Linked DNA regions of Macaca fascicularis. The protein of the gene in region 2 interacts with the protein of the main gene of each other region in a biochemical or structural test. Links are inferred from orthologs where the notes say so. Each region holds a gene or a part of one and is shown on either strand. Other genes may lie near its edges.

What was found.
Region 1: the proteins of KIT (region 2) and GRB7 form a complex in vitro, tested with the Homo sapiens proteins (3 studies listed by BioGRID and IntAct, with this or other methods). The link is inferred for Macaca fascicularis from reciprocal best matches to the Homo sapiens genes KIT and GRB7.

Annotation. Positions count from the first base shown.
Region 1 is NC_088390.1:60,802,766-60,812,352, reverse strand, and holds the end of GRB7 (growth factor receptor-bound protein 7), read right to left. Parts: intron 7,406-9,587; exon of another isoform or gene 7,386-7,405; intron 7,149-7,385; 5' UTR 7,144-7,148; coding exon 6,989-7,143; intron 6,880-6,988; coding exon 6,729-6,879; intron 6,549-6,728; coding exon 6,392-6,548; intron 6,267-6,391; coding exon 6,145-6,266; intron 6,055-6,144; coding exon 5,977-6,054; intron 5,404-5,976; coding exon 5,266-5,403; intron 4,921-5,265; coding exon 4,810-4,920; intron 4,587-4,809; coding exon 4,488-4,586; intron 4,231-4,487; coding exon 4,150-4,230; intron 4,052-4,149; coding exon 3,935-4,051; intron 3,750-3,934; coding exon 3,689-3,749; intron 3,565-3,688; coding exon 3,477-3,564; intron 3,371-3,476; coding exon 3,277-3,370; intron 2,721-3,276; coding exon 2,574-2,720; 3' UTR 2,187-2,573; downstream 1-2,186. UniProt on the Homo sapiens protein: Adapter protein that interacts with the cytoplasmic domain of numerous receptor kinases and modulates down-stream signaling. Promotes activation of down-stream protein kinases, including STAT3, AKT1, MAPK1 and/or MAPK3. Promotes activation of HRAS.
Region 2 is NC_088379.1:79,154,193-79,164,287, reverse strand, and holds the end of KIT (mast/stem cell growth factor receptor Kit), read left to right. Parts: intron 1-2,370; coding exon 2,371-2,482; intron 2,483-2,593; coding exon 2,594-2,693; intron 2,694-3,046; coding exon 3,047-3,152; intron 3,153-4,298; coding exon 4,299-4,427; 3' UTR 4,428-6,581; downstream 6,582-10,095. UniProt on the Homo sapiens protein: Tyrosine-protein kinase that acts as a cell-surface receptor for the cytokine KITLG/SCF and plays an essential role in the regulation of cell survival and proliferation, hematopoiesis, stem cell maintenance, gametogenesis, mast cell development, migration and function, and in melanogenesis.

The DNA.
Region 1 (9,587 bases), on a different chromosome or scaffold from region 2:
ATAATCCCTCAGTATCATCAAATGTCTGATCAGAATTCAAATTTCCCCCAGTTGCTCATAAATGCTTTTTACAGTCAGTCTGGATTTGAATCAAAGGTCAACACATCATTTGGTTGATAAATGTCTAAATTTCTTGAAATCTAGAGATTGCCCATCTTTTCTTGTAATTTTGTTGCTGTTGAAGAAGAAACTGGGTTGTCTGTTCTGTAGAATTTCCCAATCTGGATATTTGTCATTGTTTCCCTTGTATTTCCTGTAAACTAGTTGTTGAATCCAAGGAATCAGATTCAAGTTTGGTGTTTTGACAAAAACAATGACTAGTTGGGGTTCACATGTCTGCAGGAGGGTCTGTCTCCTGAGTTGAGCAGCAAGTTCAGGTGCAGTGAATCTGATACATTTATTAACGAGCTCCCATCAGGTAAAAGCTCAAACTAAAAAACTCTTAGACAAGGCTGGGCACGGTGGCTTGTGTCTGTAATCCCAGCACTTTGTGAGGACAAGGTGGGTGGATCACTTGAGGTCAGGAGTTCAAGGCCAGCCTGGCCAATATGGTGAAACCCCGTCTCTACCACAAATACAAAAAATTAGCCAGGCATGGTGGCAAGCGCCTGTAATCCCAGTTACTTGGGAGGATGAGGCAGGAGAATTGCTTGAACCCAGGAGGTGGAGGTTGTAGTGAGCTGAGACCGTGCCACTGCATTCTAGCTTGTGCAGTAAAGTGAGACTCCATCTCAAAAAACAAAATAAAAAAACCTCTTAGACAAAAACATAGACTGGTGTGAGCAGTGGGCAGAGGCCAGAGATCTGTCTCACAGTCTCCAATGAGCTGATTGACAGAGAGGCTAACAATAGAATATTATCTAGGCTTAATTGGAGGCACAGGAGAGTGGTGGATTTATTTATTTATTTACTTACTTACTTACTTACTTACTTTTGAGACTGAGTCTTGCTCTTGTTGTCCAGGCTGGAGTGCAGTGGCATGATCTCGGCTCACTGCAACCTCCGCCTCCTGGGTTCAAGCGGTTCTCCTGCCTCAGCCTCCCTAGTAGCTGGGATTACAGGCGCCCGCCACCATGCCCCAGCTAATTTGTGTATTTTTAGTAGAGATGGGGTTTTGCCATGTTGGCCAGGCTGGTCTCGAATTCCTGACCTCAGCCTCCCAAAGTGCTGGGATCCGCCTGCCTCAGCCTCCCAAAGTGCTGGGATCACAGCTGTGAGCCACCGCGCCCGGCCAGGAGTGGTGGATTTAGATTTGGGAAAGATCGCTCTGGGTGCTGAAGGATGTGTTGGAGAGCGAAGCCAGATGCAGAGGGCTGAATGCTAGCAGGTTCCATTTATATGGCTTTCTGGAAGGGGCAGAACTAGGACAGAAAGGTTTCAGGTTGGGGAGGAGGGAGCAGGGTTGGTAGTAGGGGACACAGGGACTTGTGGGGGGCAATGGGGCCGTTCTGTGTCTTGGTGGTGGGGCTGGATGCATAACTGTGTACATGCTGGGGCCAACTGTCCCACCAGCTAGTCCAGGACCAGCGGAGGACAAGCATGCTGTTGGACTCATCTGCAACTCCCAGGCCCTGTTAGTTACCCCTCGAGGCTTAGACTGTCAGGAAATCTCTCTGGGATGATGGTCTCTTGTCCATTCACTTAGCAATGACTGGGCGCCCACTATGTGTCAGGCTGCATGGTGGGCACTGGAGACTCTCAGATAACCATGACCACTCCTGCCCTTGAGGAACACCCAGGCAGGCAGGGACATGGCCTCGATCCATTTGACACTTTCACCAAGGCTTCCACAGGTGCCCACCTCTCTGGGTCTCCCCCCCACGCCTTTTTTTTTTTTTTTTTTCCAGACAGGGTCTCACTCTGTCACCCAGGCTGAGTGCAGTGGTGCAATCTCAGTTCACTGCAGCCTTGATATCCCAGGCTCAAGGGACAAGGGATCCTCCCACCTCAGCCTCCTGAGTAGCTGGGACTACAGGTGCCCACCACCACGCCCGGCTCATTTTTTTATTTTTTGTTGGGATAGGGTCTTGCCATGTTGCCCAGGCTGGTCTCAAATTCCTGGACTCAAGTGATCCTCCTACCTTGGCCTCCCAAGGTGCTGGGATTATAGGCGTGAGCCACCACACCCAGCTCTGGTTCCCTTCTTGACTTCAGCCAGCCAGGCCTTGCTAGACAGAACTCATAGGTATATCAAAAAATAATCTTTATTGTCACTGGTATAAAACAGAGCAGATCAACTGGCCTCTCAGTCTGTACAGAGTGTGGGGCATGAGACTGCCTGGGCTGCCCCCAATTCTCCCATAATGCCCTGCCCTAGAGCAGCAACTCCGGAGCTAGGAGAAGGGGAGGGGCCACCCCAGGCCTTCCCTTGAGGAGAGGGGTCAGGAGTGAACTGGAGCAGGGGCTGGTTTCTACCTGAGGGAGGCAAAGAAGCAGAGGAGAAAACTGGAGTGGGGGAACCCTTCCGCTCCTCATCCCGTTCCCCGCTGCCACGTCCCAGAGTCCACTGGATGGGTGGAGAGGCGGTGGGCAGCCTGAAGGCGGGCTGAGGCATGAGCCAGTCCATGGCCTGGTCAGAGGGCCACCCGCGTGCAGCAGTGGCGCAGCAAGCATGGCAGGATGCCGCGGTTCAGCTGGTGGAACTCCACGAGCTGCAGCAGGTCAGTGAAGCGGGTCTGGCCATCATCCATGCTGAAGTACAGGCGGCCCTCCTCCTCGCTCTGGGGTACAGTAGAGGGGGGGAAGGTCAGGGAGGGGCCCGAGGCTTAGGGAGCTCCCTCCTGGGCCAGGGCCCCACCCATTTCATTTTCTTCTTTTTTCTTTTCTTTTCTTTCTTTTCTTTTTTCTTTTTTTTTTTTGGAGACAGGGTTTTCTCACTCTGTCATCCAGGCTGGAGTGTGGTGGTGCCACCATGGCTCACTGCAGCCTTGACCCTCTGGGCTCAAGCAATGCTCCCACCTCAGCCTCCTGAGTAGCTGGGACTACAGGTGTGCACCACCATGCCTGGCTCATTTTTAAATTATTTGTAGAGATGGGGTCTCCCTGTGTTGCCCAGGCTGGTCTCGAACTCCTGGGCTCAAACCATTCTCCCACCTTGGCCTTCCCAAGTGCTGGGATTACAGGTGTGAGCCACCGCACTCAGCCTCCCACTTCTTGGGCAGGGAAAAGGGAGACGCACTAGGGGCCAGGGAGCCTCTGGAGGGGCCTGGTGAGGAGGACAGGTTGCTGGGAGTCCTGTGTCTCATTGCAGGACTCCGGGGACGCAGAGAAGCTCACCGGCAGGATGAGATAATGCTTCACTTTCTGCAGGTGGCACAAAGAGAGGACAAAGCCCTGGGGGTTCCGCTGACTCTCCCGGACCAGGAACAGGCTGCCAGAAGACAGGAGATAGGGCAGCATTACCCGAGGACCCATGGCTGCCACCTGGACCCCGGTCTCTCTTATCCCTGGGTCTGTTGCCCGGCCCTGCCCCTTACCCGTCTACCAAGCCCTGCTGTCCAATAAGCCGCTGGCTCTCCTCACGGGAAATGCGCCCGTGGAACCAGAGTTGGGTGCGGTGGATGGCTGCGGTGGGGAAGGACATGGGCAGTCACTTTGGGGAGGGGACCCCTATACCATCTGCTCCCCACTGAGAATGCAAAGAGAAGTCGAGGCAGCCCCTGCCCCAGGACTCAGGGCCATCACACACCTGCACTGAGGCTCGTGCCGGAGGCCGGCGTAGGCAGGCTGAGGCGGTGGTTTGTCTTCTTCTGTGGAGCAGTGGGAGATATGGGAGAGTCGGGGTGTGCTTGCGGGCATTACCCAGCACCTCAGGAAGGTAGAGCACTTCTCCCCAGCCAGGGGGCCTCCCCCTGCCCCTCTTCCTCCCTCCTATTTCAGGGATCCCACCCAGAGAGTGGGTCCCCAGCACCAACACACAGGCAGCAGGCCTCACCCTCCAGGCGTGGGCCTCCTCCAGGGCCACACTCAGAGCCTCCCGGGGGTTCTCAATGACGCGCCCGGCATGGCCAGAGAAGTCCATGGCCACCAGGGTATTATCTGAGACACTTCTCTGGAGATGGAAGGAGAGGGGAGAGGTCAGAACAGGGCCCAGGTACCCCTAAGACAGGGCCTGCGTGCCCACCCTTCCATCCCCTTGTGCGCACTCACCAAGGGTGGGGAACCCAAACAAGGCGGACGCAGATGGCGAGACTGTGCCTGCTGGTAATTCCTGTACAGCTGCACCCCGTACTGGGGGTGGGGAGAGAAAGAGCGCTTGAGGTCGAGAGGTCCTGGGGGCGTGGCTGTGACCCCCCTTCAAACCAGGACTTGCCCAGACTAGGGCTGTGTTTCTGCCTTCAATGGGCGCTTCCTGTAACTTCAGGCTTGGACTGAGCGTTATCAGAGAGCAAGGCTGTGATGCCCTCCTCATTCCTGAGACTTCCTGGGGGCAGAGCTGGGAATCCCTCTGGCCAGATCAGCCCCCCATGCCACTCCCAGGGTCTCACCTTGAAGAGGCGGAAGGCAGCCAGCCAGCAGGTGCGGCTCTGCTCATCTTCACTGCAGAAGATCCGAAGCCCCTTGTGGCCATTTCGAAGCTTGTTGGGCTGCGGAGAGAGGAAACTGGCTGGTCCCGTATCTGCCTTTGGGACTACATGTCTGTCCCTGCTCCACAGAGCAGAGCAGGATCCAGGGAGTTTCCAGCAGGCCAGGGTGCAGGGAGAGGAGCCTGGGCATCTGGATTGGGACTCAGAAGCCCTAGGCAGGATCCAGGGGCCTGAGCAGTTCCTGCTTCCGCAGGCCAGGGGCCAGGCCTGGCCAGGTCTTCACCTTGACACAGAAGCCAAAGTCGGTGGGCATCCCGTAGAGCTTGCGGCCTTGCGTCACCACGTACACGTTGGACTCGTTCACATCTGCCACGTATTGCAGGTGCCTCGGATCCTGAGCAGCACGAGTGAGCAGGACTTGGTACAGGTGGACCCCACCCGCTATTACCTCCCCCCACAAGCCAGGTGGGGAGATTTCAGGACCAGAGAGGGGCAGGGGAGTGCCCAGGGTCACAGAGCAAATAGAAGTAGAGCCAGGACTTAAACTCAGGTCATCTTTTCTCCTGCTACCTCCCTGGGCAGGTGAGCTGGGCAAGGATGTAGGGAGAGATGGTAAACTGGAGGTGGTTGGCCTGGGGGGCACGGGGGGAGAAGGGCTCAGGGGTTCCAGCAGAGAAGGGGCAACTTCTAAAAGGACCAGGGACTGCAGAGGCTGGAGCTGGCACTCTCAAGACCTCACCTTAGAGGTGCCCTTGGTGGAGTAATAGAGGCCAGATCGGCGCAAGAAGCAGAAAAAGCGTTTCCAAAGCTTCCGTCCTGAACCCCGCAGCTGCAGAAAGCCCTGGATCTCAGGGAAGCTGCCAGCATTCAGGAAGTTCTGAGCCAGAGAAGAGAAGAGAGTGGGAGGTCTGGCCTCCTCCCTTCCCCTCTACCACCAGATGTCTTCTTTTTCTTTTTGAGATGGGGTCTTATGCTAGTGCAGTGGCACGATCACAGCTCACTGCAACCTCGACCTCCCGAGCTCAAGTGATCCTCCCACCTCAGCCTCCCAAGCACCTGAGACCAGGCTCATGCCACCATTCCTGGCCTTTTCCTTTTTTTTTTTTTTTTTTTTTTTGGAGAGACAAGGTCTCACTATGTTGCCCAGGGTGGTCTCAAACTTCTGGGCTCAAGTAATCCTCCTGCCTCAACCTCCCAAAGTGCTGGGATTACAGGCATGAGCCACCACACCCAGCCCACCCTCAGGTTTTTACAAGGAAATGCTCCACATGCATTTCTCGCCCCCATTTAACAGAAGAAACTGATGCTCAGGTAGGGAAAGTGAGTTGTCCCCAGTCACACAGGACTGTGGTTTGGCTCTTTCTACCACATAGAGGGGAGGCACAGGACCTAAGGGCAGAGAAGCACTGGTCAGTTCTGGGGAGTCGTGAAATGGGGGGGGTCTCCCCACCTGGATGAGGTCTTCATGGGATATACCAGTGTGTGCATCGAGACAGCTGGAGACCATTTTTTCTGGGAACAGGGAGTGCTGAGGGTAGAAAAGTGTCAGGGGTCAGGGCTCCAGTGTCCGGTTCAGGCTCAGGGCATCCCAGCGCCCAGACAGCCCTCACACACTCACTGGGGAGCTCTTGAACAGTTCGTACTTGGCGAAGTTTTTCCGGAAGACGAAGCGGCTATCTCCGCCCACGGGCCAGGCAGCCTGCACTTCCACCACGGACTCGTGGTCCTCCAAACCCCGCTCTGGGGTCAAGGGCAAAAAGCAGGGGTTATTGGAGATCAACCAGATCTCCCAGATGAGTCACATGCCTAGCCCAAGATGCGAGACATCACCTCCCAGCCTGGGTAGTTCCATGCACCCGACTTACCCAGTGCTAGGTGGGGGTGGCACTCCACCAGCCCCCAGGTCTCGTCGCTCAAAGCGTGAGCTCGCTGCACCAGCATTTCACACACATGGCGAGCTGTGGCACCTGCCGCCACCTCCACAGACCTGCAGGCCCCGTCCTCACTGTACACCTTTACTACCTGTGCCCCAGGAATTGCAGATGACTTGAGGGGAGGCAAAGGGTGATTCCTTCCCTTTCCACACCTGCTAGACCCTCAGGGACTCCTAACCAAGATCCCCCGCCTCCATGGAAATGGCTGTGTATCTCCCACAGATCCAGAACCCTGCATCCCTCCCTTCCCTTCTGAGGGACAACTCACATGGGGGCGGCTGGCATCGCGGGGGAGCAGCCCTCTTGCACTAGAGGGGCCCCCAAGAATGGGGCTCTGTGAGGGAGGACTGCAGAGCTCAGGGAAGGGGTTGGGGATGGAGGGGAGGGAGGTGGCACGCCGCTCCTCCTCTCGAAGTTTCCTGTGGCAAGAAGAAAAAGGGAGAGAGGTGTGGGGAAAGGAGCAGTGGCCTGCAAGCCGCTGTGTATTATCCAGCACTGACCTCCCCCAAGCCCCACATCCCGTCGTACCTGCCGGTGGTTGGGATGAGGAGAGGCTGGGACCTCTTTACCTCCTCAGGCAGAGAGGTATCAGGGGGCCGGGGAGTCCCAGGAGGGGTCCCGGGGGCTGGGCAAAGGTCTTCCGGAGAGCTGCCAAGATGAGGTGGAGACAGATCCAGCTCCATGGCATCTGAGGGAGAGAGGGGCAGAATGGAACCAGTTGTGTCAGTTGTGTGCCCTTGTCCTGGGGAGAGGGGACTAGAGAAATCAGACCTCCTGACCTCACACGGTGGTTAGGGTGCCCCTCAGAGTTTACCTAGCACCTCACTGCTCTAACTGGAGTTTCCCTGAAGCCCTTGGGGAAAGACAGAATGAGCCTCATTTTATAAAAGGGGACACTGAGTCTCTGAGAAGGAAGCATTCTTACCCTCAGTCACAGGTGAGTCGGGGAGTAGAACCTGGTGCCCTGAGTCACAGGTGAGTCAGGAGTAGAACCTGGTGTTTAGACTCCAAGTCCAGTGCTCTTTCTGGTTTTTTTTTTTTGTTTTTTTTTTTCACTGCAACCTCTGCCTCCTGGGTTCAAGCGATTCTCTTGCCTTAACCTCCCGAGTAACTGGGATTATAGGTGCATGCCACCATGCCCAGCTAATTTTTGTATTTTTAGTAGAGATAGGGTTTCACCACGTTGGCCAGGCTGGTCTCGAACTCCTGATCCGTCCGCCTTGGCCTCCCAAAGTGCTGGGATTACAGGCGTGAGCCACTGCGCCCAGCTCCAGTGCTCTTTCTTTAGCACAAAGTTGCTCACAGGAAGAGCTGAGGGTCCACCCACCACAAGCCTGGTGGTCACAACAGATTTCACAACCCACACACTCTCAGGCTCAGCCCTCAGGGTCAGGGCAAAGGTCCACTCCTTTGCCTCCACGCGTGGGGCACTCACTGCTCCAGGCACTGCCCGGGTTTTTCCAGCACTGTGTTGCCAGACCCAGTTGCCAGAGCCTGTTCGTACTTGGTGAAGTTTGGCCTGCCCAAGTGATGAGTGATGCAGGGGGGAGAAGGAGGTGGGGAAGGATGGGAGCCAGAAAGTCAGGAGAGCCGGCTCCGCTTCAGTGCAAGGGGGAGAGGAGACCTGGGGTAGGCGTCCTGGCCACAGCAGCCCCTAAACCTTGCGTACCCTCCCCAGGCCATCCTCCTGCCCAACTCTTTCCTGAGGCTCCAATGCTAGAGCCACTTCCTCTGAGAAGCCTTCCTGGCTTTCCACATTCTGAGTGAACGACTCCCTCTCAGCACTGTGCAGGGGCTACATCATCCATTACTGCGCACCTGTCCTATCCACTCATTTGTCCAAGGGCACCCGGTACCCCCAGGCAAGGCCAATCTCACCCATGTCTTATCACTTACAGGGGCTGCACAGACACTCAGGACAAGTAAAGACAGGAGAGCCGGCACTAGAGGTGGAGGTGGGGCTGGCCCCTCCTCCTCAGGAACCAGGCAGACCCCTTTGGCTGGACTGAGACCTGGGAGAACCTGCAATCCCAGCCCCTAGCCTGTTCTCCGAACACTGGGCCAGTACTATGAGGCCACCTGGGGCACCTGGGATTGACCCCTCAGGAGGGCGCAGGCACCTGACCCCTCAGTGAGGGCATCAGGGGATTTGGGGGACAGGTGAGTCAGGGCAGGCGGGACAACACTGCCTAGGGCTCTCCATTCAACCTTGACTCATCCACACAACTTCCTGGCTTAGGAGAAACAAAAACAGCCCTGCCTCTACCCTCCCCCCAACTCCCCAATCCAATGGTAGCCACAGCCGAATGGGGGAGGCATGGGGCTGGGAACAGGATGGGGGAGGAACATGTGGGGCCTGAGGCTCCTCTGACATCACCTCCTCCTCCCCACCCTCGGCCTTGCTCCAGGCCAGGTGGGACCTGTGATCTGCTCTCACCCCCAGTGCCAAACCACCGCCTTGCCAGGGAGTCCCTCACCTGGGAAAGAGAGAGGCAATGCCCGGCCTGGATTCAGAGGCCCATTTGGAGAGAAGCCAGCGTCCCAGCGGTGCCCCTCCCCACCCAAAGCATCGCTCAGAGCCCCCGCCCCGTGTGGATGAGGTTCCTCCCGACACATTCTCCTGGGTGTCCCGGCCAGAGGGGTACCACAGGAGCAGGAGCAGAAAGGGAAAACACTCAAAAAGACAGACAGGATGAAGGGCCAGGGAGGGGGCCCAGGGTCTGGCCAGGAGGGGCAAGATATACCCGCCACCCGCTAGCAAGAGACACCAGCACCTCAATATCAGAACACGATCCCCCACTCCCACCCCAGTCTACCCTCCAAACAGCCCCGGTCTCCAAACAGCCCTGGTGACTTCATTCCAGGTTGCAGGGGGCCAACAGTGGGATGGGGAGAGGAGCAGAGAATTCAGGCGGGCAGCGCTTGGAAGGGGTTAGAAGTGGATTCGAATCACATTACAGCCTGGCCTCAGAGATCAGAGAGGGCCAGCCTAAGGCTGGGGTTTGCCTTCAGATCCCCCCACCCGGGCCCTTCAGCCCCTTCTAAGGCTGGAGGCGGGTGGAATCCTCAAGACCAAAGAGGCGAGCAGGGAGGGGAAGGGCTCCTGGCTGTAGGCCTGGCAGCTTAG
Region 2 (10,095 bases):
ATATTATCATCAGGAGTGGTAATAAAAACAACTTCTCTTCATCCTTGTGCAATTTTGGAAGGAAGAATGATAAGTCGTTAATTATCCAGTCCTCTGAATATTGACCAAAGGGAGGAGGAGGAAGGTGGCAGTCTCCAGGCCCAGTCTTGATGAATTCTGTAATCTGTCTCCATTATTTCCTGGCTGTGTAATTTTGTCAAGAGTTATCCAATAACTCTGAATCTTTGTTTTTCTCCCCTTGGGAATAATAGTGATTCCTGACTGAGAAAGTTATGAGTTAATATATGTAAAGTGCTCAGGACAGTGCCAGACATATTGTTACTATTCTTTATAGATGTCTTATTTGCGATCTGAATAATCGTGATGATGGTTATATACTGTCTTGTTATTAGTTAGTGACCTTAGTTTGAATTGACAGAGGGGTTGGCTCCATCAGGCTTCCAGACTGTAGAGTCCAGTTCAAGTCAGTTGAACTAACCAATCACAGACGTCGCTTTCACCTGTCTAGTGGGTAAGGAGAATTTCTGGAACAAGATAAGAAACTCAAACATGTTACTGCCCTGCATTTATGTCATCATCATTTGAGATCTCCTTGTTACGTCAGGTTCTCTGAAGTTCTTTCCTTTCACGTGAGTTCTTCATCATTTTTCATGTCATGGCCCCTTTTAGAGTGTGGTAAAGCCTATGGAACCCTTATCAGAACACTGTTTTCGACGCCTATGATGAAATATGTAGGATTACCAAGGAAAACAGTTAAACCGAAATAACTATCACGTTATTAAGTAAATTTGTGATATGTCAGTACATGTGTTTACTACAGAGAGTAACAGGCTCTGTTAGGTTGGTGCAAAAGTAATTGTGGGTTTTGCTATTACTTTTTTCTAAAAACCACTGTAATTTTAGAGTGGTGATTAATGTAAATATGATTTTGAGATGCCTGTAAAGACTTAATAGGATATGAAGATGTTCATGAGAAAGTCGCAGGTACAGCTAATACTACTGTGGTTTATCACCTTTCTTAGTAATTTGAAGAAATGCTAAATTTCATCTAGAAATTAGCAAAAGTAAGGATGTCATTTTTCCTTTCCAAGTTCACAGGCCCCTGAATTTGACACCCATAGATCTCAGGTTAGGAGTCCTCATAGGAACTTTAGCACAACATCTAGGAAGAGAAGGGATATTGGAAGTTTGTTTTGTCTTGTTTTGTTTTTTTAAACTGACTAAAATAACTTTAACACCAAAAAAAAAAAAAAAAAGCTGTCCCAGATTTCAATCTTAAATGGATTAAGAGAAGGATTGATTTAGCTTTTTATGGCAGATTAAGATTGGGAATCCAGAATGCATCTAAGAGGAATAGTTACAGAAAGTTCATCTCAACTTTAATGGAGAGAGTTCTCCAAAGAGTCATGATCACAAGCCACTACTGTTTATTGGGTACTTGCCTTTATTCTAGGCAGTTTTTCAGATAGCACTGAGTCAGGTGGTGCTAAGCATTTTTACCCACATTGTCTTATTTAATGGGACAATTCACAAAATTCATAAAGGACAATTCATAAAATTAAAAGTGTTCATTTTGTTTTACAGAAGATACGGAGGTTTAATTACAGATATTTTAATGACTTCCCCAGTGTATTAGAGTTTTGGGTTTTGACAGAAAACCCAAAATAAAAGAAGTCTAAGGGTAGCAGGCCAGGATTGGTATAAAGATTCCATGGAGTACCTGGGCCAAGTCTTTCCCTTCCATGCTTAGCAATTCCTGGGTGTAACCCCCATGTCCATGGTCCAAGATGACCACCAGGTAGATAGCCAGCCATCACATCCAGAAGGCAGGGGGCCCTTGCACTACAGAAGAGAGGGCAGAGGGCACATGCTAGCTATATTATAAGGAGGTATTCCTGAAGCTGCCATATAGCACTTACAACTTGGTGGCCAAAACCGAGTCACCTGACTACAGCTAGCTAGCTGCAAAGGAGGCTGGGAAATGTAGTCCTAATTGTGAGAGGCCATGTTTCTGTTTTTAAGGAAGGAGAGGGACATATTCAGTGGAAACTAACAAATCTCTGCATTACCTAAGGCCCATGATAGAGCCAGAGCTAAAATGTCTGGCTGTCTCTGATGTTTGTGCTCTTAATCTCCATGCCGTACTGACATAGTGTTCACATCTTAAAATGGGGATAATGAACTTGTGAGCCATGTATTTCAGAGGTGATTGGGATCATCTGAGATTATATAGGTAGAAGGTTTTTGTGAGATGGTACTTAAGTTATCATCTCACATTTCAGCAACAGCAGCATCTATAAGAATATCTTCTGTTCAGTTTTGTTGAGCTTCTGAATTAACATTGTTGACTCTGTTGTGCTTCCATTACAGGCTCGACTACCTGTGAAGTGGATGGCACCTGAAAGCATTTTCAACTGTGTGTACACATTTGAAAGTGACGTCTGGTCCTATGGGATTTTTCTTTGGGAGCTATTCTCTTTAGGTAAAATGATCCTTGCCAAAGACACCCTCATTAGACTCAGAGCATCTTCTTGAGGTTTCATTAGTGTCCTGCTTCCTTGTGATTAACACTGCTTTGCAAACTGTGTCTCAGGAAGCAGCCCCTATCCTGGAATGCCAGTCGATTCTAAATTCTACAAGATGATCAAGGAAGGCTTCCGGATGCTCAGCCCTGAACATGCACCTGCTGAAATGTAAGGGTCGAAAAATTTTTCCTTTAGATCACATTTTCCCTTTTATTTTTCTTTTTAAAGACAGAAACCCAGATGTTGAGGGTTTTCATAACACAGTTTGAAATGTCACTTGGTTTCTTTATGACACGCTGGTCAAATGTCATTTCTGTAGTTTATTTTCATAATCTCTTGTCACCAAAAATACAGAAAGTTTCAGCAGCATTTCATACATGCAGTGTTTTATGTTATCCATATGTCAGTCCGTATGTCCAGTTGCATAGCCCTGGAATTATTACTGAAGTTGCTGGATGCCATACATTTGAAAACAGACTGAGGGTGTTGAGGAGGGATAGTAAATGGCCCTTGTCTCGCAGGTATGACATAATGAAGACTTGCTGGGATGCGGATCCCCTAAAAAGACCAACATTCAAGCAAATTGTTCAGCTAATTGAGAAGCAGATTTCAGAAAGCACCAATCATGTGAGTATACTCTGGCCGAATCCCCCTTCTCCCAGTTCCAGGTGTGTCCTCCTCCTCAGGTTTTCAAGGTGAGGACTAACCTCCCAACCCCTTCTCTCCTCATCTTAGGTTGCAAATTGGGCTTCAGGTAGGGGAAGTAAAGCAATGGAAACCAGTTCTTTCTGCCCAGCCCTCCTCTTCTGAGCCAAAGAAGGATGTGAGATGGAGGGGGAAGGGTGGAGAGTTTTGTGCTCAGTGGAAGTAGAAGTTTCCGTAAGGATTTGCCATGTTTCCTCCCCTATCTCAAATGCTGGTCATGGGGTCAGTATTTTCTCCCTCTCACGTGTCAGGGCCATTCATCCTTTGGAGGGTTGGGGTGATGTGAATAGAATAAACGCATAGAAAAGACAGCTTGTTACTGCAGTGAAATAAGCCTTCTGATCAAACAAGCATAGCCAGAAAATGGCAGATAGCTGTCATGCCCACAAGCCATATAGAATGAAGAGCTGTTTGAAGTTGGGAGATCCCTCCCAGTGATTTGGGAAGTGGGGGGGAATGAAAACTCAAATCTATTATTTCCTCTCTTGCTTTTAAGGAAGAATTAGTGATACTTTGACTCTGATTTTTTTAAGCTGCTTTCTTTACTGGGCTGTGTGCTTGGAGCTATCTTTTCTTTCCTAATAGCACACCACTGATAATTTTTGGGTTAAAGCTTGTTCTTCTGGGTTTCAAAGCGTGTTTCAACTTAAACAGCATTTTTCACCCAGTTACTTTGATTCTTGACAGGAGACCCCTGGAAGGGCCATGGGTTTCTCGGCAAATTACATTGGTTGTTGGGTTGTAGTTGGCTGTAGAGATTTACAAGCCTTTTTAGATAGGTTTGATAGTGCTTGCTCCCTGGTGTGCCCCATTAGAAGAGCTAAGCTTGTGCATGTTTTGTCCCTACTTCTTGTATGAAGTTATTTCCTTTGGAAAAATGAAGGGGAAAACAAAGCTTATATTTGTTTTGTCAGTATGACTTGGGTTTTGGCCATAAAGTTCTTGTAAACCACTTCTCTCTTAAGAGTTTCCATCAGTTAGTGGTGATCTTGACACTGTAAGTATGCCTTTTGTTGCTGTGTTCATTGTAGGGACCTGGTGTATTGACTATGCGCTTGTTTTCCCCAGATTTACTCCAACTTAGCAAACTGCAGCCCCAACCGACAGAAGCCTGTAGTGGACCATTCCGTGCGGATCAATTCTGTCGGCAGCACCGCTTCCTCCTCCCAACCTCTGCTTGTGCACGACGACGTCTGAGCAGAATGAGTGTTTGGGTCACCCCTCCAGGAATGATCTCCTCTTCTATTGGCTTCCATGATGGTTATTTTGTTTTCTTTTGACTTGCATCCAACTCCAGGATAGTGGGCACCCCACTGCAATCCTGTCTTTCTGAGCACACTTTAGTGGTTGATGATTTTTGTCATCAGCCACCATCCTATTGCAAAGGTTCGAACTGTATATATTCCTAATAGCAAAGTAGCTCCTACCATGAACAGAAAACATTCTGATTTGGAAAAAGAGAGGGAGGTATGGGCTGGGGGCCAGAGTCCTTTCCAAGGCTCCTCCAATTCTGCCCAAAAATATGGTTGATAGTTTACCTGAATAAATGGTAGTAATCACATTTGGCCTTCAGAACCATCCATAGTAGTATGATGATGCAACAAGATTAGAAGCGGAAAACCTAAGTCCTTTATGTGGAAAACAGAACATCATTAGAACAAAGGACAGAATATGAACACCTGGGCTTAAGAAATCTAGTATTTCATGCTGGGAATGAGACATAGGCCATGAAAAAAATGATCCCCAAGTGTGAACAAAAGATGCTCTTCTGTGGACCACTGCATGAGCTTTTATACTACTGACCTGGTTTTTAAACAGAGTTTGCTATTAGAGCGTTGAATTGGAGAGAAGGCCTCCCTAGCCAGAACTTGTATATACGCATCTATAAATTGTCCGTGTTCATACATTTGAGGGGAAAACACCATAAGGTTTCGTTTCTGTATACAACCCTGGCATTATGTCCACTTGTGTATAGAAGTAGATTAAGAGCCATATAAGTTTGAAGGAAATAGTTTATACCATTTTTTAAGGAAACAGTGTAACCACAAAGCACAGTCTAAAAATCTCCTCTTTTAGCTGATGAACTTACTCTATAGATTCTGCGGAACAAGTCTATCAGCTTCAGAATGGCATTGTACTCAATGGATTTGATGCTGTTTGACAAAGTTACTGATTCACTGCATGGCTCCCACAGGAGTGAGAAAACACTGCCGTCTTAGTTTCGATTCTTATGTAGCAGGAAATAAAGTTTAGGTTCAGCCTCCTTCACAGGCATGTCCTGGACGCCGGGCCAGTATCTATATATGTGTGTGTACGTTTGTATGCGTGTAGACAAATATTTGGAGGGGTATTTTTGCCCTGAGTCCAAGAGGGTCTTTTAGTACCCAAAAAGTAACTTGGCTTTCATTATTAGTACTGCTCTTGTTTCTTTTCACATAGCTATCTAGAGTAGCCTACCAGAAGCTTCCATAGTGGTGCGGAGGAAGTGGAAGGCATAAGTCCCTGTGTATTTGCAGTCCACCTGCACTTAAGGCACTCTGTTATTTAGACTCATCTTACTGTACCTGTTCCTTAGACCTTCCATAATGCTACTGTCTCACTGAAACATTTAAATTTTACCCTTTAGACTGTAGCCTGGACATTATTACTGTAGTTTACCTCTTTTAAAAAACAAAACAAAAAACTCTCCTTCCTCACTGCCCAATATAAAAGGCAAATGTGTACATGGCAGAGTTTGTGTGTTGTCTTGAAAGATTCAGGTATGTTGCCTTTATGGTTTCCCCCTTCTATGTTTCTTAGACTACATTTAGAGAACTGTGGCCATTATCTGGAAGTAATCATTTGCACTGGAGTTCTATGCTCTCGCACCTTTCCAAAGTTAACAGATTTTGGGGTTGTGTTGTCACCCAAGAGATTGTTGTTTGCCATACTTTGTCTGAAAAATTCCTTTGTGTTTCTATTGACTTCAATTATAGTAAGAAAAGTGGTTGTTAGTTATAGATGTCTAGGTACTTCAGGGGCACTTCATTGAGAGTTTTGTCTTGGATATTCTTGAAAGTTTATATTTTTATAATTTTTTCTTACATCAGATGTTTCTTTGCAGTGGCTTAACGTTTGAAATTATTTTGTGGCTTTTTTTGTAAATATTGAAATGTAGCAATAATGTCTTTTGAATATTCTGAAGCCCATGAGTCCTTGAAAATATTTTTTATATATACAGTAACTTTATGTGTAAATACATAAGCGGCGTAAGTTTAAAGGATGTTGGTGTTCCACGTGCTTTATTCCTGTATGTTGTCCAATTGTTGACAGTTCTGAAGAATTCTAATAAAATGTACATATATAAATCAAGTGGAATCATTTGATTGTTGAGATTCGTGAGATTAAACTTTAAAGCATTAAAGTGCATTCATCCTGACAACATTTTGTACTCAGTTTTCATAAAATATGTGCAAGACTATCAGATCATACTAGGATTTACATACTTAGAGATTGAACAGATATTAAGAATTTTCATCCGTGTGATATTTTCTCATTTTAGTCTTACAACCTGAGGTCTCTATTTAAATTGAAAAATAGATACAGTGAACATTCTAAGAATTTTACACATAGCTATGATTACTATTAGATTGATTCATGTGAATTTTTGGTATTCACGTGAATTTGCTGCCATTTTTGGCAGCAAAATAATGGTCAAATAACAGCAACTTCATGTGGCTTAATTTAATATGACTGGCATGTTTCCTCCCAGAAGAGACCGTCTAAAAACATGAACAGTAAAATAATAGACCAAGCTAACATGAGGAATCCCAAGAAAGTGGCTTGTATTCTTGTTGGCTTGGGTTTTGAAGACAGGTCATTTCAAAATGAGATATTCATGCTCCACCTGAAGTCCTTATTCTTACTTGCTTCTGGAACAGAGTTAGGTTCCACTTCGACTTGGAGGGAGGTGCTTAGTATGTATGAACTGGGTGCCGTCATGCGGGTGAAACATTCTGCATGCCCAAGTGATACCGTCCAGACCACTGGAACCCAAACAGAGGCTGAGAGTCCTTCAGCTTGAAACAAAGGAGGCACCCTGAATCACATAATCCTATTAAGAATGAATTAGGCACCCACACACTCTCAGTCATGACTGCCTTTATTGATGTGACATCTACACCTGCAGAAATGTCTCCTGAGAGGAAAGGGAAGGAGTGAAAAGTGACCTGTAATGAAAAGGAATCCTTTTAAAATCAAGAGGGAATTGTGTGGCAAAGAATGCGTCAATAATCAGTGAAAAACACCCACATTTCAGTCAGGCGATTCCCATTATTTTATTACAGACAGGAATGAATGCTAATTGACCACAAAACAAAGAAGTCTTTTCTTTCCAAATGTTTTCGCTGTCATTTAGCCTTTGTCATGTGTGAGGAATTTGCGTTAGAAGCGGTTGACAGGCCCCTGTGTTAGGAGTCTAGCTAATTTTCCTCACCAGCCTAGCTTTTCAAAGGAAAGTAATACCAGGTCTTGGTGCCCAGGCTCAAACTTGGTTCAAATCTCAGTGCCACCCCTGTCTCTACCACTTACTGATGTGTGACATTAGGCAGATTAGCTCTTGAAATCTCAGTTCGTGGGAGTAGTGTCTACCTTGATGTATTAATGTGAAGCTGTCGAGACCAGCTCGTTCATATGCCTAATAAGTTTTGCCATGGCCAATTCACCTTATTAAGCAGGGAGGGTGGTGCTTCTGTACTGACACAACTCATATAAAATTATACAATCAAAAACTTGCTTCTAATTTTCTTAGGTGCAAACAGTATTGTACAAGTGTGCTGCAAAACTTGACGTTGCTATAAAGATTTCTGGGTGGTGGTGGTTTTTTTTTTTTTCTTAAATCCCGGTGTTTGGCCAGGAATTCAAAACTCTCTATTCTTGCTCCAGCCTTCCTTCCTACTTCTCTCCCATTATCTAAGGCCCATGAGTGTGCCCCATGCTCTTCTCTGCTTCCATTCTCAGACTGCATACTGTCCCTTCTCTCCAAGAAGACAGACCCGCAAAATCATCTCGATGGGAAGTTGTCGCTGAACTCCCACAGCACTCTTTACTTTTTATGGCTCTTACAATTGATTTTCCAATTATTTTGGCTCTTGTCTTGTCCCCATCCCCACTATATCCAGACTTAAAATCAGTTAACATAAAATTCCCGTATGTGCCAGGGTTACTGCATTTACTTGTTTAAATATTGAATTGTCCAGACACTCAGGGGTTAAATTGCCCAAGAGGTTGCAAGAGTTTACGTTTTGCCCAAGTTCACTGAGCAGTACATGAAGCCAGACTTAGAATCCAGATCTGTACCTCAGTGATGGCAAATACCTGGTCTTCCCACGCTGGTGTCTCCAACCACCCTGGCCATGCAGACATCACTCATCTGCCACCACACCCTCCAACTGAGCCCAGGTGCCTTAGAAGTCACAGTCTTCTCCAACAAGCTGATATGAATCAATTGGTGTTAGCCTGCAGAGAGACTTACCTGTCCCCTTTAAATGATGACCAAGTTTCCATCTTCCTGAGGGACAGATGTTCTTCATCTCAGACACCCCCAAAGCTGCTAGCACAGTACTTCAAGAGTGGTTCTTTTTGAACAAATAATTGAACATCCCATCAGTGTTTGGAGTGGGAGAGAGCCATTTGGGAGGAAATGGGCCCAAGAAAGAGGGGAAATAGAAGAAGACAGAAGGCAGTGAAGTTAGCTTAATTTCACATGATGGGGTGGCACTTTGGGGAGAAGGGAAGGGGAACTAGAAACATTCCTTTGGACAGCCTTACTGAGGCCTATACAGAGGCTTTGTGGGAACAAGGAGAAGAGAAGAAAAGGAAGGCGTTGGTAGACTGGGAAGGGTGGAGAGGAAGGGAAAGTGGCAGGAGTGCTCTTCCTTATTCAGAAGCAGGGAGAGGAGCTGAAGCTGACAAGCAGTTTCTGGGCTTGAGGTGCAGAAGCTGAAGACAGGAAGACCGTGCCGCCCCACACTTGGTCTTGGAGAAGGTCAGCAGCACTGGCGTCTGCATGAGAAAACGCCCCACGGGAGAGGTCTCGGGATGAGCAAGGCTTCAGGAAGCACCAGCTGGGCAGCCTTTGAGTGAACCTTTATGAAGAAAAGTGTATGGGTTTGCTAGGGCTGCCATAATAAAGCAGTTGAAACTGGCTGGCTTCCGTATGGAAACTGATTGTCCCACAGTCCTGGAGGCTAGAAGTCTGAGATCAGGGTGTTGGCAGGGTCAGTTCTTTCTGAGCACTGTGAGACTCTGCCCCATGCCTCTGCCAGCTTCTGGTGCTTTGTCGGCAGTCTTTGGCATTCTTTGTACATCTCTGTCTTCAACTTCAACTTCACATGGTGCTCTCCCTGTGTGTGTGTCTGTGTCCAAGTTCCCCCTTTTGGTGAAGACACTAGTCATATTGGATTAGGGGTTCAACCTATTCCAGTACAAGTTCATTTTAACTAATTACATCTCCCAAGACCTTATTTCCAGTAAGGCCATATTCTCAAGTACTAGGAGTTATGGATATGACTTCAACATAGGAATTTGGAAGACACAATTCAACCCAGAACAAAAAAATCTCAAAACCCTCTTGATTGCAGGTGACCTGGTCTTCCCTAGAGTACTGAAATGGGCTCTCTAAAAACTCTTGAATGATCTCCAAAGTTCCAATTTCAGAGCCCTCTGTTCAATCATTGCATTACCTAGAGCAGTGTTTAGAACAGAGTCTGGTCTGTAGCAACCACTCAATTGTCAAATAAATGAAGCTTTATGCATTGAAATACTCCTCCTTGTAACTTGCCTTCTTGCCTGCATTCTCTGCTCCTCCTCTTTGTCTTCCTCCAGC